Ovis aries: one gene and its partner. The protein of the gene in region 1 binds, or shares a complex with, the protein of each later gene. Links are inferred from orthologs where the notes say so. Each region holds a gene or a part of one and is shown on either strand. Other genes may lie near its edges. The genes, in order: MKI67 and NIFK.

Evidence for each region.
Region 2: the proteins of MKI67 (region 1) and NIFK are in contact, whole or in part, in an NMR structure (PDB 2AFF), measured with the Homo sapiens proteins. The link is inferred for Ovis aries from reciprocal best matches to the Homo sapiens genes MKI67 and NIFK. Residues at the interface, in NP_002408.3 of Homo sapiens: Thr9, Ile10, Lys11, Arg12, Ser13, Pro18, His19, Phe20, Pro21, Ser23, Leu24, Arg31, Gly32, Ile33, Glu34, Cys35, Asp36, Ile37, Arg38, Ile39, Gln40, Leu41, Pro42, Val43, Val44, Ser45, Lys46, Thr66, Asn67, Ile91; in NP_115766.3 of Homo sapiens: Val228, Asp229, Ser230, Gln231, Gly232, Pro233, Thr234, Pro235, Val236, Cys237, Phe241, Leu242, Arg245, Gln248, Val249, Leu252, Asp256, Lys257, Asp259, Glu260, Ile261, Val262, Phe263, Lys264, Gln265, Pro266, Ile267.

The regions. Positions count from the first base shown.
Region 1 is NC_056075.1:47,020,746-47,024,996, forward strand, and holds the start of MKI67 (proliferation marker protein Ki-67), read right to left. Parts: upstream 3,094-4,251; 5' UTR 2,777-3,093; intron 2,383-2,776; 5' UTR 2,303-2,382; coding exon 2,211-2,302; intron 1-2,210. UniProt on the Homo sapiens protein: Protein that associates with the surface of mitotic chromosomes and acts both as a chromosome repellent during early mitosis and chromosome attractant during late mitosis.
Region 2 is NC_056055.1:186,964,487-186,968,295, reverse strand, and holds the end of NIFK (MKI67 FHA domain-interacting nucleolar phosphoprotein), read left to right. Parts: intron 1-48; coding exon 49-157; intron 158-1,783; coding exon 1,784-1,995; intron 1,996-2,518; coding exon 2,519-2,587; intron 2,588-2,710; coding exon 2,711-2,779; intron 2,780-3,049; coding exon 3,050-3,238; 3' UTR 3,239-3,606; downstream 3,607-3,809.

The DNA of each region.
Region 1 (4,251 bases):
TGTAGAAGCAGCTACTTTAAATCATTAAAACTTAGAGTACTTAAAAAATTATAATGGAAAATATTAGAATACAAAACTAAATTTCCTTTTGCTAAACTATTTATGCTTATAATTATGAGACCCAGATAAAGGAGTACTTCACATCAGTTTGGAGAATAATTATTTTTTGGACTCTGCTTTTTTTTTTAATAAAAAGATTTACACATGTTTGTTGGTAATGCTATGTATGTTTAAAGGTTTAATCATCTCCAAAAGTGCTGTATTTCATGTTAGGACCTCTCTGTGCCTCAGTTTCTTCATATACCAAGCGGACTCCATTGGCACCGACATCATGGTGCTGTGCACACAATTAAATGAGTTACCCAGGTCTGTCACTTGCTGGGCACGCAGTAAATGCTCACAACTTGTGACCTTTTGATTGTTTTAAAACTGCACTATTAACTGACAAAGTCACAAGTCTCCTCTCACTCCAGACACTAAACACAAGCAACAAAAACCAGTTATCTAGATGCAACCTGTCTTTTCACAGGAAGCTGACATCAGCAGCAAGCACCGCAGGAGAGAAATCCCCAGACCACTGAGAAGCTGGTCGAAGATGCCTTAGCAAGGCTCCCTGGGCCTCTGGTGCCCCTGGTACCATCCTAGGTTTAACATGTTTGAACAGACCGTGACTCCTCTGTTCTCAACAGGAACCTCTGGAGCCTTAGTGTAGCCCTTCCTCCCCGTGTCACACAATCAAACACTACAAATGGGTTTCTAGATTAAATAATCTTGCATAAAAAGACACTTAATCACTACAGTAATGAAAGAATGCCTGCCATTTGATACTGAAATTTTTTGTTTTGTCTTTTCCTTCTGAAGAGAGTAGAAGTTATGGAAAGTGAACAGCTACTCTAAGTCAATGAAAAGATTTTGATTTTGAGGAATGAGAGAAAGATTATCTCATTAGAAATGAGAATGTTAGGCAGGAGACTGCCAGCGAGAATCACTACAGAGCAGTGGTTCTCCACCTCGGCCCCTGACATCCCAGCCAGACAGCTCTTTGTAGGGGCAGCCGTCCTGTACATGGTAGGACTGGCAGCAAAACTGACCTCTGCTCCCTGACGTCGGTGATGTGGGGCTCCCACATCGTGACATGAAAAAATGTCTCCAGACTTTGCCAGGTATCTCCTGGGGGTCATATGGCTCTCAGCTGACAACCACTGCTACATACTGACTCCAAACCCGATTCTCCAGCTGATGTTTCAACAGGACAATTGTTGGCGTGCCAGACAGTAACCACCTCTGATACACCAGACCCCATACCAGACACCAGCTACATAATTATTAACAAGACAGTTTCTGCTCTTGGGACCTTAGGAGTGAAACGGACAAACTGCAGCCTCATTACCACGTGCGGGTTAGGAAGAAAAAGAGCAGTGCTCAGTGAAGTCTTCTTCTCAGGGTACATGAATCGCTCATGTAGGAGGGTAGAGAGCAAACCCCAGAGACAGAAGCGCCAACTGGCTAACAGCACCAAGGTGAGCCAGAGTTTGCCCTGTGGTGGAACGTGGGTGCAGGATGACTGGTAGGAGGATGGAGTGTGGGTGGGAGGGGGGCAGGGTTCCACCACACAGGGTTCTACAGGGAGGGTAACTTACCCATCACTTTTAGAAGACGAGAGCTGGGTATGATTAACAGTTCCTGTTTATACACGGACCACAGTTACTGCCACCAACAACACAGGAAGGCACCCAAAGAAAAGTTCTCAAAACACAATCGGAAAGACTCTTCTTCCCATTCCCGCTTTTTTCCCAGAAAGACCAACAAGCCAACACAGATCCCTTCCTTATTTGTTCAATAGTAACCCCCAGCAGCCAAGGAATGCTCAGTTCAGAGAGTTTTCAGATGAGCACAGCGGCCTTCGAAAGCCTGCCTGAAGTCAAGCAGGATTTGAGAATCCTTTACATTTTTCTCCAATTATAGATTTTTATCAAACCAATTTTTAAATCTTTGATTAAACACACACACAATTATATAAACATCATCCTCAAAATTCTATTTCACATGAGTCAGCCAGTCACATTGACAGTACATAGGCAATCCTGAGCAAACCCAAGGGCTCCTCTACTCCTGGAGCTGAGCGTCCCATCTGTCAACCTGTGGTTAGTAACACTGAGGGGGTTTTAAAGCCAAATTATGTCAATTGTCCGCGCAAGGGCAGGGCTCACCTTCCAAACACGCAGGTGCGGAGGCTCAGCGGAAAGTGAGGACCATCCACCCCGCTCCTTTTGATGGTAACCAGGCGTCTTGTAGGACCCATTTTCTAAACAAGAATTTGAGTATAATCCCCGACGGGAAGGTCAGACATCAAAACGTTTGCTGAAGCGGACTTACAGGTCACTGAAGGAAATAACAAAAATAAAACACGTGGGGAGCCGGAGGTTACCCTAAAGCAAAGCGCTAAGAAGGCACTTGTAAGTGACCAAGGGGGTCGCTTCACCAATGCCCCGGCCGCCCCGACCCACACTTTATACTGACCGCTGTGGAAGCCCCAGGCTGGTCCCGGGCTGTCCCCCCACAACTCGGTGCCCCCCTCACAGACCTGCGGCCAGGACGGCGCCCACCAGGGTCGCGGCTCCCGGGGAGGTTCCCGCCGAGACTCCACGCGAGCGCTGAGAACGAGCAGGGCCCGGCCCAGGGCGCCTGTGCCCGCAGAGTCCCGAGTGGTCCACGCGGCCCCCCCGGGGCCCCGCCAGCTGCCCCCGCACCCCGAAGGGCCCTGGCCGCGGCTCACCCGGGATGAGTCTCCAGCGCCGACGCCAGGGGATCGATCCACCACCCCGCGGCGCGCACCTCGCGTCGGCCCCGGGAGGAGCAGGGGACCAGTCCACCTGCGTCCGCCTCCCGGCCCGCGCCGCAGGGACCGACCGGGCCTCAGCCCGCAGACTCGCGCCCACCTCCGCCGCGGCTGCGGTCCCCGCTCCACCCCCCGCCCTCGCCCCTCGTCCTCGCAGGCGGCCGGATGGCCCAGCCCAGCCACGTCCCGGAGGCGCCCGGCGGTAGCGGCTCGGGCGCGAAAAGCCGCCGCGGCGCCCTCTCGATTCAAATGATAACATCGATTCAAATTTGGCGCTAAGCGCAGCGATTGGGCGCAGTGGCGTAGAGACAGACCAATGGGAGTGGAGGGGCGGGCAAACGAGAGGGTTAGGGCTGCGCGGGGCGGGGGCGGCCTCCCGGCTCAGACACAGACCAATGGGAATGGAGGGGCGAGGCTGGGGCAGGGTTAGGGCTGCGCAGGGCGGGGCGGGCTCCGCGGGGGCGGGCTCCGCGGGGGCGGGCTCCGCGGGGCTGGGCGGACGGGCTTGGTTCGCGTGCCTTCGCGGAAGGCGACCTCGTTAAGGGTCCTCCACCCTTACAGCGCAGACCCTGCTGAAATGCAGCAGGGTCCCACCTCCGCGAAAACCTTGCCTCCTTTTCTCTAAGGGTCAAACACAGTTAACAATGGTACATAGTATGTTACTCGTTGCTGGTAGGTTTACAGTTTTTTTTTTAAGTTCCTCTATTTCCCTAAAGATGACCAATTGTTACAAGCCATCTTTTGTGTCTTTTCCCAGTAATACACACGATTCTCTTTTTTTGTTTTTAAAAAGGCATGAGGAATATCGTAAAATACACTTTTTCTCCGTACTTATACTCACTGCTTTATAAAGATGTAGACAACGTCTTCCTCTTTACTTTCTTTTTGGTGGCTATAAAGTATTTGGCTTTGAAATCGTAATTTTCTTAATCTTTGCTATTGACTGTCATTAATTTAGGTTTTCTAAGATTTACTGTGTTTTCCTGTTAGGAAGAATTTTCAATGAGTAAACCTTATGCACTACAAAATGGATGAACTGTAAAATAATTAACCACGGGATTCCTCCATGTGCGTGACCGGACGGGCCAAAGGAGATGCCGCGGGCCATCACGCTGTGAAGGGAACCGGGGACGCTCACCCTTGGAGCTTGGTTTTCCTTGATCGGGAACTGCTGTTCTCACAGCTTGATCTGGGAGCCCTCGGGTCTGAGATCCTTGCAAAGGGAAACCCACTTTTGTAATAACAGACAGTCCTTGCCCTTTTCACTGCCATTTCTTATATGTGGAGGATGGCATTTCCCTGGTGCAGAAGCAGAAGAGAGAATCCAGCTGGTTGTTTTTTGGGTATGTGTGTGGGCTTTTTTTGCCTTTTTTTTTAAACTAAATCAGTATCACGGAGATTTGCAAAAACAT
Region 2 (3,809 bases), on another chromosome or scaffold:
CATTAGAATGTAATTGTTCTGCTTTTTGTGGTGGATTTGTCATTGCAGACTGGAAATAGCAAAGGCTACGGCTTTGTGGAGTTTGAATCTGAAGATGTTGCCAAAATAGCTGCTGAAACAATGAACAACTACCTTTTTGGTGAAAGACTCTTGAAGTGTAAGTACCCAATTCTTAGCCTGTGGGATTTCAGGGATGCTCCTGCTGACAGTGGCTGTGGTGGGAGGTTGCTTAGCTGTTCGGACGTCCCACCTCATCCCTGGGATGAGTCTCCTAAGCAGTGGTGCAACAATTTAAGTACATTTTCAAGATAGATTTGAACTGGAATTTTAAGATTTCCAGAGTGAGAGCTGTTTTCTGCTGAGACGGAGTTGGAACAGTTTCCTTGAGGAGTAAATAGGAAGGGCTTCCTGGTGGGGTATGGGAGGCTTCCCTGAGGAAGAGTCATTAAAGTTGGAACCTGAAGGTTAAATAACCGCCAGGTGAAGGGGTGGAACTGAGAATTTGGTGGGGGCACAGCAAACGCCAAACCAGTGACAAACGTAATTGCTTGCAAGGAGCATAGCGAGAGATGAGGGAGGAGAAATAGACGAGTGAGGTCAGGTTACCGGAAGCCATGTAAAGCACAGTTTAGAATACATGCCGAGGACAGCGGAAACCACTAATGGTCCTGGACAGAATGATGTTCAGGGTGAGGAGTCACGTGTCAGCCAGTCTTCGTGGCCTTGGCTGCAGCTCCTCTGCAGAGAAACCATCGGAAGGGCAAGGGTGACAGTAGCAGACGTTCATCCTGCAGGAGGTGGAGCTCCCACCTACCCGCCTCCCCAGAGCAGCCCATCCGGAGCCAGCACCCAGGTCACACCTCTTCATCTTAGTTCCTATTGCTGTGAGAGGGGTCAGGAGCCCCCTGAGATCCTGGGTGTTATTTGCACATGAAAAATGTGGCTCTTGCCAGGACGAAGTGGGTGATTGGGTGACCACATGTATGAGATCCCTGCTGTGCTCCACCTGACTTCTGAAGGATGGCACAAACAGTTCCGAACTCTGATACGAGGTGTTAGCCACATCCCCACCTTTTTTTTTTTTTTTCAGGGGAGTAGTTTGTCTTGGAGGTGATCCCGGGGAAATACTTGTAAGGAGTGGAGATTTGACAGGGAGGAAGGAAGTCAGTAAAGGGTATGTTAGCAAGCAGGTTATTTAGGCATTTGGGCCCCTTCCTGCTGGCCACCTTGGGAAACAGAATTATCCCAGCTGACAAGCATAGAAACTGGGATATTTGTGTACCATATATCACTGGTGGAGGGTAGATCCTAGGGATTTTGGCTTCCCTGCATAAGGGGCCCAGTATGCATCCCTAAGCAGAGAGATACAGATAAGCAGTGAGCTGCCTTAGTCCTGGGCAGGTGCCTGGAGGATATGAGCTGGAAGGTAAGAGCTTCTGCTGTCATGAGTCACGCAGTCTAAGAGTGGGAGTCCTTTTAGCTTCAGGAACCCTAAGACTTAATTTCCACACTCTCCTCTGTGCACTCGTCTTGTTCACTCGTGTATCTCTAGTCCTGGAGTCGTCGTTGGCACACAGTGAGTGAGTGGTAGATAATTGTGGGCTGTCTGACTTGCCCTTGGGGACCTGCTTTATTCTTTCAGGCTGCTCCATGTAAGTGGGGGACACATCAATTTGATTATGCTACAAGTGACACAAGGTGACACGGGACAGTCTGAAGTTCTCATTAAAAGCCTTTCCCTCCTACTCGGTTGAGAACTTTCTTTTTCTTTTTTTAATTGTAGGCCATGTTATACCACCTGAAAAGGTACATGAAGAACTTTTTAGAGAGTGGCATATGCCATTTAAAAGGCCATCATATCCAGCAGTGAAACGGTACAATCAGGATCGGTCACTTGTTCAAAAGCTACGGATGGAGGAGCGGTTTAAAAAGAAGGAAAAATTACTCAGAAAGAGATTGGCTAAAAAGGGGATTGATTATGATTTCCCTTCATTGGTGAGTATTCCTTTGTATAAAATGTCTAACCCAGTATCTCCCCCTACGAGGTTTTGACTGGTTTTTTGAAACTGCAGTCATTGTAGGCTTGTCTTTGTAGGTTTGTCAAGCTGTCCTAGTATTTCCTGTTACACTACACGGGGAGGAAATCCTGAAAGGGATTAAACCAATTTGCAACACGTACCTGATTTAGCAGTTTTAGATGATTGAATCAGTGAAACCTTACTTGACCGAAAACCATAATGCTTATAGATTACTAATAAAGGTGTCATTGCCAGGATTAAATGTTTGGTTTATTGTATGTTACCAGTAAATACCAAGACTGTAAAGTGACCATCCTTTTTATGCCATTTTAGTTAAAATTTTGTTTCATGGTCCTTTTAAATTGGAAATAGTCCTAAAAGTCTATGTCAGAATTAACTAATAAGTATATGTATAATAATCTAATGGTAAGTTTTAAAATATACATAAGTGAGACAGCTAGTTTTACAGCTTCTTTTTCTATTACTTTATGCTTGTTTAGGTTAAGGTATTACATAAAAATGAGGAAAATGCTTCAAACACTGGTCCTCGAAATTCCAGAAAGCACCAGGTAAAACTTTCGCTTATCATATTACCCACTTGATATTAGAGAAAGAGAAATGGGGAAGTCCATCCAGGACTACTGTGTCTAGTCAACACGCAGATTGATGTAGTCTCTTAAAATTTATTGAAGGCTTTACGTAAGAAGAAGAAAGCCGCTTCAGTCACTCCTAAGACTCCTGAGAAGGCTGTGGATAGCCAGGTAAGATTGTCTTCAGTATTCTGGGGATCCGGTATTACAGTTTAAAGGAGGACAGGCAGTTGCTGCTACTGTCACTTTGCTTGCTCAGTCTTGTGACGAAGTGTGATAAGCACCTAAGCGCTTGATCATGTGCAGCTATATCATCAAATGATGGAAACAGGCCTAAAATAATACGCGTAACTTACAAAAAAATAGAGGAGAGGTAGTGGGAGAGGGTCATTCCTAATATCTTCCCACATTTATATGTTATAATCTTTCACTTGAATCCAGGGTCCCACACCAGTTTGTACACCAACATTTTTGGAGAAACGAAAATCTGAAGTGGCTAAAATGAATGATGATGATAAAGATAATGAAATAGTTTTCAAACATCCTGTATCTGGTGTAAAAGAAGAAACACAGGAGACTCAACCACCTGCAAGTTCAAAGAAAAAAAGACGAAGAAAACACAATCAGTGATTTTTTTTTTTAATGTATTGTGTATAGTTCTTCTGAAAAGATGATTTTATTATGAAGACTAATTCTGTATATTTAAGTAGATATAGTGGAATGTAACCAGTAACAAGCTAGTTGGGAAAAAACTGTCAGTTCAAGTCACTGAGGAAAGCAGTGATTCTGGCTTCCCTGCCCTCGCTGAGATGCACACCAGTTTACAGCAGCTGGGCTCCCACTGCCTCTTGTCCTGCCTCTAGTTTTCTTAGCGGTTTTCACAGCTGCTTTTAGTTACTCTGCCTGGAGAGAAGATCACTATTAACTGCCGATTTAAGCACTAAACTGTAACTTTGTTGTTACCATCAAATAAAGAAAATCTTGCTTGACCATCAAAATAGTTCTCTGTTAGACCAAGCACATTTAACCCATCAAATGGCTGAAACTAGAAGTTGGATTCTATGGGGAATGAGGAGGTGTCAGTACTAATAGAGATTCATTTATGTATATACAATCATTTTTACCAATGTTAAATTAGTTTGTGGTGGGCTGGCATGGATTAATTAATAACTACCATCTTCTATCAGTATCATCAATCAGG